2 linked regions of the Coturnix japonica genome follow. The protein of the gene in region 1 purifies or fractionates together with the protein of each later gene. This does not show direct contact. Links are inferred from orthologs where the notes say so. Each region holds a gene or a part of one and is shown on either strand. Other genes may lie near its edges. The genes, in order: ALYREF and C1QBP.

The links.
Region 2: the proteins of ALYREF (region 1) and C1QBP purify together in Homo sapiens (affinity purification with mass spectrometry; 3 studies listed by BioGRID and IntAct, with this or other methods). This does not show direct contact. The link is inferred for Coturnix japonica from reciprocal best matches to the Homo sapiens genes ALYREF and C1QBP.

Annotation. Positions count from the first base shown.
Region 1 is NC_029533.1:4,445,331-4,449,239, forward strand, and holds the start of ALYREF (THO complex subunit 4), read left to right. Parts: upstream 1-1,478; 5' UTR 1,479-1,568; coding exon 1,569-1,799; intron 1,800-1,990; coding exon 1,991-2,122; intron 2,123-3,909. Other genes in the region: NPB (neuropeptide B), read right to left, coding at 175-303, 580-777; ANAPC11 (anaphase-promoting complex subunit 11), read right to left, coding at 919-1,064, 1,285-1,393. UniProt on the Homo sapiens protein: Functions as an mRNA export adapter; component of the transcription/export (TREX) complex which is thought to couple mRNA transcription, processing and nuclear export, and specifically associates with spliced mRNA and not with unspliced pre-mRNA.
Region 2 is NC_029534.1:2,454,783-2,458,277, forward strand, and holds C1QBP (complement component 1 Q subcomponent-binding protein, mitochondrial), read left to right. Parts: upstream 1-841; 5' UTR 842-889; coding exon 890-1,100; intron 1,101-1,190; coding exon 1,191-1,341; intron 1,342-1,422; coding exon 1,423-1,513; intron 1,514-1,713; coding exon 1,714-1,809; intron 1,810-2,048; coding exon 2,049-2,171; intron 2,172-2,380; coding exon 2,381-2,530; 3' UTR 2,531-2,792; downstream 2,793-3,495. Other genes in the region: ATP-dependent RNA helicase DHX33, read left to right, coding at 1-226.

The sequences.
Region 1 (3,909 bases):
CCCACCCATTCCAGAGGGCACACAGCTCTGGGTGGGCACTGCTGCTCAGGGCACCCCTGTGTGCCCCAGATCCTGGTGGGCTCCCCCCAACCCCAAAGGCTTCCCTCCCCTTAAGGACAGACAACATCTTTCCATTCCACGTGCATTTATTGTCACTATAGTCACCGTGCCACCTCAGGCCCCCCCACACTCTGTGGAGCCCAAGGACACGGTTACAGCCACACTGCACTGCAGAGCACCGGGGACTCCCGATAGCAGCCGACAGCTCCGTAGCTTGGGGTCCACATCCATCACACACGGCACCTGTGGGGAAAGTATCACAGAGATTCCTGGGTGGGAACTTTGGAGCAGGGCTGCCCGCGGAGCCGGGCAGGTGGGTGTTCCTGGTATCAGGGCATTGCTGGGATCTGGGCGTTGCTGGGATCAGGGCATTGCTGGGATCAGGGCATTGCTGGGATCAGGGCATTGCTGGGATCTGGGCATTGCTGGGATCAGGGCATTGCTGGAATCAGGGCATTGCTGGAATCAGGGCATTCCTGGTACCAGCCCGTTCCTGGAGCGGAGCATCCCGGTACTCACCGCGGTGCGGAGCGGAGCAGCGGCACCTCTGCTGTCGGAGCGGCGGCTGTAGGGCAGGCGGCGGAGACCGGAGAGCAGCCCCGAGGCTCTGCCCACCGGGTAGGAGAGCGGAGCGGCCGCCTGCCGGTACCAGGGCGCGGCGGGGCGGCACAGCAGCATCACGGCTACAGCCAGAGTCAGGCAGCGGGCGGCTCGCATCGTGCCGGCGGGGGCGCAGCGCTGCGGAACGGCCGCTCCGGGTCTTTATGGCCGCGGCCGCCCCCGCCGCGCAGCACGAGGGAAAGCGCCGCTCCCCGCCCACGGAACCGGGACCGGAGCGGCGGGAGGAGGCGGGGAGGATCATTCCTTGAACTTCCACTCCTGGCGGCACATGGGGCAGTGCTGCTGGACCTGCTGCGAGTGCAGCCACTTGAGGATGCAGTGCATGTGGAAACAGTGCGAGCACTGCCCCCACACCAGCGGGCAGTCGTCCCCGGGCACTTTGCCTGCGGCGTGGACACAAAGTCAGGAAGGGCCGGGTCGCACCGGACCGGGTACCATACCGGGTACAGTACCGGGTACGGGACCGGGTACCGGACCGGGTACGGGACCGGGTACCATACCGAGTACCATACCGGGTACCGGACCGGGTACCATACCGGGTACCATACCGAGTACCATACCCGGTACCGGACCGGGTACCGTGCCGGGCCCCGCCGCACTCACAGTCGGGGCAGCAGCCGTTGAAGGCCATGCGGCAGATCCCGCAGTTCTCGTCGTTCGCCACCCACAGCCACGAGGCGACTCCGCTCCAGCTCCGCACCTTCACCCTCATCGCCGCCGGAAGTGCCGCTCTCCGGTCCGCGCCGCCCCGCCGGAAGTACCGCCCGCCGCCCCCACGAGGCCCCGCCAATCTGAACGCGCGCCTCCGCCCGCCGGTCCCGCCTCTTCCGCTTCCGGCGTCGGCGCAGCGCGGCCGGAAGCGCAGGCCCCGGAGCGGAGCCGCCATCATGGCCGACAAGATGGACATGTCCCTGGACGATATCATTAAGCTCAACCGAAGCCAACGCGGCGGCGGTCGGGGCGGCGGCCGGGGAGGCCGGGGCCGAGGCGGCGTCACCCGCGGGGGCGGGCCCGGTCGGGGCGGCGTGGGAGCCGGGCGAGCGGGCGGCGGCCCCGTGAGGAACAGGCCGGTGATGGCCCGGGGCGGCGGCAGGAATCGGCCCGCGCCGTACAGCCGGGTACGGGACGGGGGCGGGGGCGGAGCCCGGTCGGCGGGGCCCGGAGGGAGGGGGCCGGTGTGCGGGGCGGGGGGCGGCGGTTCGTGGACGGGGCGGGGGCGGTGGGACGGGCGGCCCTTTGTCCGTTGCCGGCGGTCGAGCCGTCCCGGCGGGACCCGGCGGCGCTCAGCGAAACGTCCGTGTCGTTCCAGCCGAAGCAGCTCCCCGAGAAGTGGCAGCACGATCTGTTCGACAGCGGCTTCGGGGCCGGCGCCGGGGTGGAGACCGGCGGGAAGCTGCTCGTCTCCAACTTGGACTTCGGCGTCTCAGATGCGGATATCCAGGTACGGGCTCGGCGCTGTTCCCGGGGGGTTTCATTCATTCCATCGGTGCTGGGTGCTGGGGGTGGCCATAGAGCATTGCTGGCCCTGCTCCCATTGGAAGGGCCCTTCACACGGTGCCTGGCCCTTTGCTTCACGCACTGCTGGGGCTCTGAGCTGAGCAGTTGGAGTGGCTGGATTCAGAAGAGTCCCAGTCTTTATGGAGCTGTAGGTAATCACATATGAAATATCTCTACCACGATGCTGTGGGGGGGATGTTGCCTTCGCTCAGTCCTGCTGTGATTGCAGAGCTTAGCACAGGCTGTGTGAGCTTTTAAGGTCTGTGTAATTCCAGACGTTCAGTAGCTCTATATATACATCTATTGGCGCTGTTTTCATAGTACCTGTTTATGTACTTTTTGTTAAAGTTTTGTTCAGTCTCAAGGTGTTCTTATAGAAGCACCAGTGATATTGAGAAGTCTGGTCTGTGAGGGGGTACCTGCTCGCTCATGTTGTCATTTCCACAATTACCACATGTATCTTATGACAGATAAATGTTCTAGCTGAGTTACCAGCTGCAGCTCAATCCCTTGTTCCAGCTGTGCCCTGGGTGCAGGCTGTTTGCAGTCACTGTGCCTGTGACACAGCAGTCACAGCTGTGGGGCTGCTCTTACTTGTGGGCAACAAGTTGTGCAGAAACATCTGCAGATCCAAGGAGCATCCAATCTGAAGGGTTTTCCTGACTTAGTCACATTGCAAAGAGCTTTGGATGGTTTCTGGTCCTTGCATCTCCTCTAGAAAAAAATAACTAAATCACTTCTATGTTTTCTTCTGTTAATTCATTCCGGTTCAACCTGTCTGCATCAGGAGTATTGGAAGTGAGCTTTTTTAGGTCACCTAGTTATTGAGCGATGCACTTAAAACCACTGTTTTTTCCTCAAGTGAGTTTAGTTTCAGTTGATATACATTTCCTGTTTGCTGTAATCAGGCCCAAACGTGTAAAAGTGAATCTGTAAAGTTATCTCAATGTAAGGAATTAATGTGTTTTGTGTGGCAGTTGAATGTTTCCTTTTCACAGTTGGCTTGAACTGCAGGAGCAGACAAACATCTGTGTATATTATATGTAGCAGCAAAGCTGACTTAATGGGTTTGTACCTCTTTGTTACTGCCCATCCCGTAATTTTCCACTAAGCTGCACTGATTGTTTTCTTTGTTTCTGTGCTGATTGTGTCATTAATATGGTTCTGCTCAGCTCAGTGCTGAGGAATGAGGGGCTTGGTGGGAGCCTCGTTCACGTTGCTCTTGTAGGAGTATGTGTGGTGCTGTGGCTCCAGCTTCTCTGCAGGACAGGGATGTGATGGAGCACCTCTCCTCCCATGTGGTGCTGTCTTCCAGAAAGCTTGTTGGGTGCTGTATGTTCATGTTTAGTAAATGGACACAGTAGAGAAACTCACTGACAGGCTTGCATAAAGTGCAGCTGGCTTAAGAAGTGAAAATATTTATATGCTCCTTTCAAATGCTTGGATAGGAATTATAGAGATGGCTGGAATAGTGTTTGGGCTCTGCTGCAGGTGATATGGAAGGCAGCCTGTGGTGTCTGCTTTGGACACCTGACAATTCTGTGTGCTTCAAACATTTGAAGAGTGGGGTGTAGGTATAAACTTGCAAAGTAGTGAGATGTCCCCAGATGTACATCTTAGATGTAGCCTCTGTGAAACAAAATGGGTGGCTCCACTGTTGCAGCCTTCCATCGCTCGTGATGGTAAACGATGCTCTTCAGTAGAAGATTTCCTGCTTTCAGTTTATACAGA
Region 2 (3,495 bases), on another chromosome or scaffold:
CGAGCTGCAGCCGGACGGCACCTACAGCACCGTCAGCTCCCACCAGCCCGTGGCCATCCACCCCTCGTCCGTGCTGTTCCACTGCAAACCCTGCTGCGTGGTTTACAACGGGCTGCTGCACACCAACAAGTGCTACATGCGGGACCTGTGCGTGGTGGACGCGGACTGGTTGTATGATGCAGCACCTGACTATTTCCGCAGGAAACTCAGAGCAGCCAAGAACTGAGTGGGGCTGCAGGGCTCAATACAGGGCTCAGTGCAGGGCTCAGTGCAGGGCTCAATGCAGGGCTCGGTGCAGGGCTCAATGCAGGGCTCAGTGCAGGGCTCAGTGCAGGGCTGGGCTGTGATCTGTGCAGGGACAGCGGGGTTTTGCATCGCAAACAGGTGTAAAACTGGGAGGAAAATGGCTTCTCTGTGAGAGGCAGCACTCATGGCAACCTGTGGCTTTGAACCATCGTGGTGTTAAGAGCTGCTGTGTAAAACGGGACCTGCTTTGTGCTGGTGTTTAACATTGAGCTGTAATGGATGGGGCTGGAAGGAAACGAGCCCAGCAGCTCCTGCAGCAAACTCTCTATTTGTTGATGGTTCAGTTTGTGTTCCGGGCAGGTTTTACCGATGGAAAATAAAGACAAATAAATAAATTTCTACATACAAGGAGCAAAATCAAAGTGCTGTTTCACTGTCAGAATGGAGGTGCCTCATCTGTCCGCTCGGAGCGCTGCTCAGCGCGGCTCCCCCCGCCCGGCTCCTCCTTTGGAACCTTCTGGTCTCTCCCCCAAGGTCACTCCGCGTTGTATCTCGTTCCCTCCCCTTATTACCGGGGGCGGAGCTCCGGAAGCGCCCCGATCCCGTCCGGGTCATTCTCCTCCTCCTCGTCCCGTTTCTCGCCATGCTGCTCGCTCGAGCCCTTCGTTCCGCCGCCTCGTTCCGCCCCGCTCTGTCCCCGCTCCGCTCGCTCTGGTCCGTCCCGCAGCCGCTCCCGGCTCGTTCCCTGTGGCAGCGGAGCGATGTTGTTGTTGGCTGGAGGGCGGCGCTGCTCAGACCGCGCCGGGGAACTGCGGGCGGCGTGTCCTGCGGCTGCGGCGGGCTGCACACGGAGGGTGAGTCGGGACGGAGCCGCACGTGGTGATGGAGGTGGGGGTGGATGCGGGGGGTGGTGCCGGTGCTGAGCGGTTTCTCTCTCCCCGCAGGGGACAAAGCGTTCGCTCAGTTCCTGACGGATGAGATCCAGGAGGAGCGGAAGATCCAGAAGCACAAAGCGCTGCCCAAAGTGTCGGGCGGGTGGGAGCTGGAGGTGCACGGCACCGAGGCGAGGCTGGTGCGCAAAGTCGCCGGGGAAAAGTGAGCAATGAAATAACGAACGGGAGCGATGCGAGCGGGGCCTTCCCGGCTGTGATGGTTTAACTCGTGTCCTTTGTGCAGGATCACGGTTACCTTCAACATCAACAACAGCATCCCGCCCGCTGTGGATGAGGACGCGCCGGAGGAGCAGAAACACGAGGAGCAGGAGGAGGTGAGCACAGCACAGAGCCAGGGGACCACAAAGGGCCGCCGTGTGCTCAGTCTGATTTTGGGAGTGGGAACACACAGAGCAGGACGGCCCTGGGAGACCCCCATGGACCATCCCACCCCCTGCTGAGCACTGCGGGCACCTCGTGGCTGTGCTGGCTCCTGCTCAGCCCTCAGCACTGATCGGCTGCTTCTCTCCTTCAGCCCGATATCACATCGACTCCAAACTTTGTTGTGGAAGTCATTAAGGATGATACAAAGCAGACCCTCGTGCTTGACTGCCATTACCCCGAGGATGAGGTGAGCTGTGCTCTGGGTTCCTGTGTCTGCACAAAATGCTGCCTCCTTCTTTTCTCCTCACACAGGTTTTATCTCTGTAAGGAAACTGATGGGATGGGTTTCTTTCTGCTCATGTCCTGACCTTCTGATCAGCTCAATGTGTGGCATTAAGGGGGTTGTGTTCCCACCTGCAGGATGAAGCAGCTGATGGTTCCCTCTAATTACAGCTAATACATCCTGTGCCTCATTTCCTATTTCAGGTTGGCCACGAGGGAGAGGAAGAAAGTGACATCTTCACCATTAGGGAGGTCAGCTTCCAGCCCACCGGGGAATCAGATTGGAAGGACACCAACTACACCCTCAATACGGATTCCCTCGACTGGGTAAGTGCTGCTGATTTACATTGTACTCCTATTCCATCATGAATCATTTGCTCACCCTGTTGGAGGTGATATGGCAGCTATTGGCACCAAGCAGGAGCACCAGCTCTATGAGGAACAAGGGGGGAGCCCACAAGCCTAATTGTATTGCAGTAGTTAAGTAGGATTTGAAGCTGTGCTCTGCTAAGGCTGTTTTCTGTTCCTTGTTGCAGGCTCTGTATGATCACTTAATGGATTTCCTGGCTGACCGAGGAGTGGATAACACGTTTGCTGATGAGTTAATTGAGCTCAGCACTGCGCTGGAGCATCAGGAGTACATTAAATTCCTTGAAGACCTTAAAAGCTTTGTTAAATGTCAGTAGGGAAGGAAAGCAGCGTTCAGTGTGGGCATTACACAGCAGTGCTCCACCAGCAGAACCACAACGTATCTTCACAACAGAGATGGAGTAACTGAATTGGGAATTGAGCATCACGGGACAGTGAGGGGCCTCACTTGTATTTATGCTACGTTGCAGCCCAGCTCAGGTTCTCAAACAGGACTGTCTGGACCTGCCTCCCCCTGCTGCATTTTGTACCATTAGGAATGAAGGTGAATAATAAAATGTGTTCAAAACTCCCTGAAAAGTAGTTGTTTTTTTCTTCATGTTGATCAGTTGCCATAAGGGATATCTGTGTGTTCCCTGACCTGAGAAGTTAATGCAGCTGCCTGCAGAGCTGGGCAGTGTTAGGCCAGTTTTTCTCCAGGGCTATTCTAGCCCAATCTAGTCCATCTGTACCTGTTAGTATCAACGCATCTGCTCTAGAAAAATACTGCAGACAAGTTGGAGCTCTTTCCTTGCAGTAATTCAAGTCCTGTGGATGCTGAACATCAGCAGCATTGCAGAGCAGCAGATTTGGGCTTCTACTCAACCTGCTGCGTCCAGGTGATGCCTCAAGGTCTGAGTCAGCCCCAGTGGCAGAGCAGGAGATGCTCCCGCACCATGCAGCCATGCATTAAAGAGCTGCCTCTTATTTCAGCTTGAAGGCAGCCAAGGACAGAACAACGAGAAGAGGCAGAATACTTTGTGACTATTGATCAACCTCCCTGTTGATTCCAGGGCAATACTTAATAGTCCTGAGTGTAGTGGGTAAGATTGTAAGGAGGAACCTGCTTTTAGAACAGAAGGATACATTAAAAACACTGTCATGGACCTGAAGTTAAACACGAAGTCCAAAGCAAGCTGTGAAATCACTGACACGTTGTTGAAGATGATATGAAGGATGAAGTATTTATTATAAAAACATGGACTGTGCCATCAAAAGTGCAGGGTAAGGCAGTAGCGTTGCC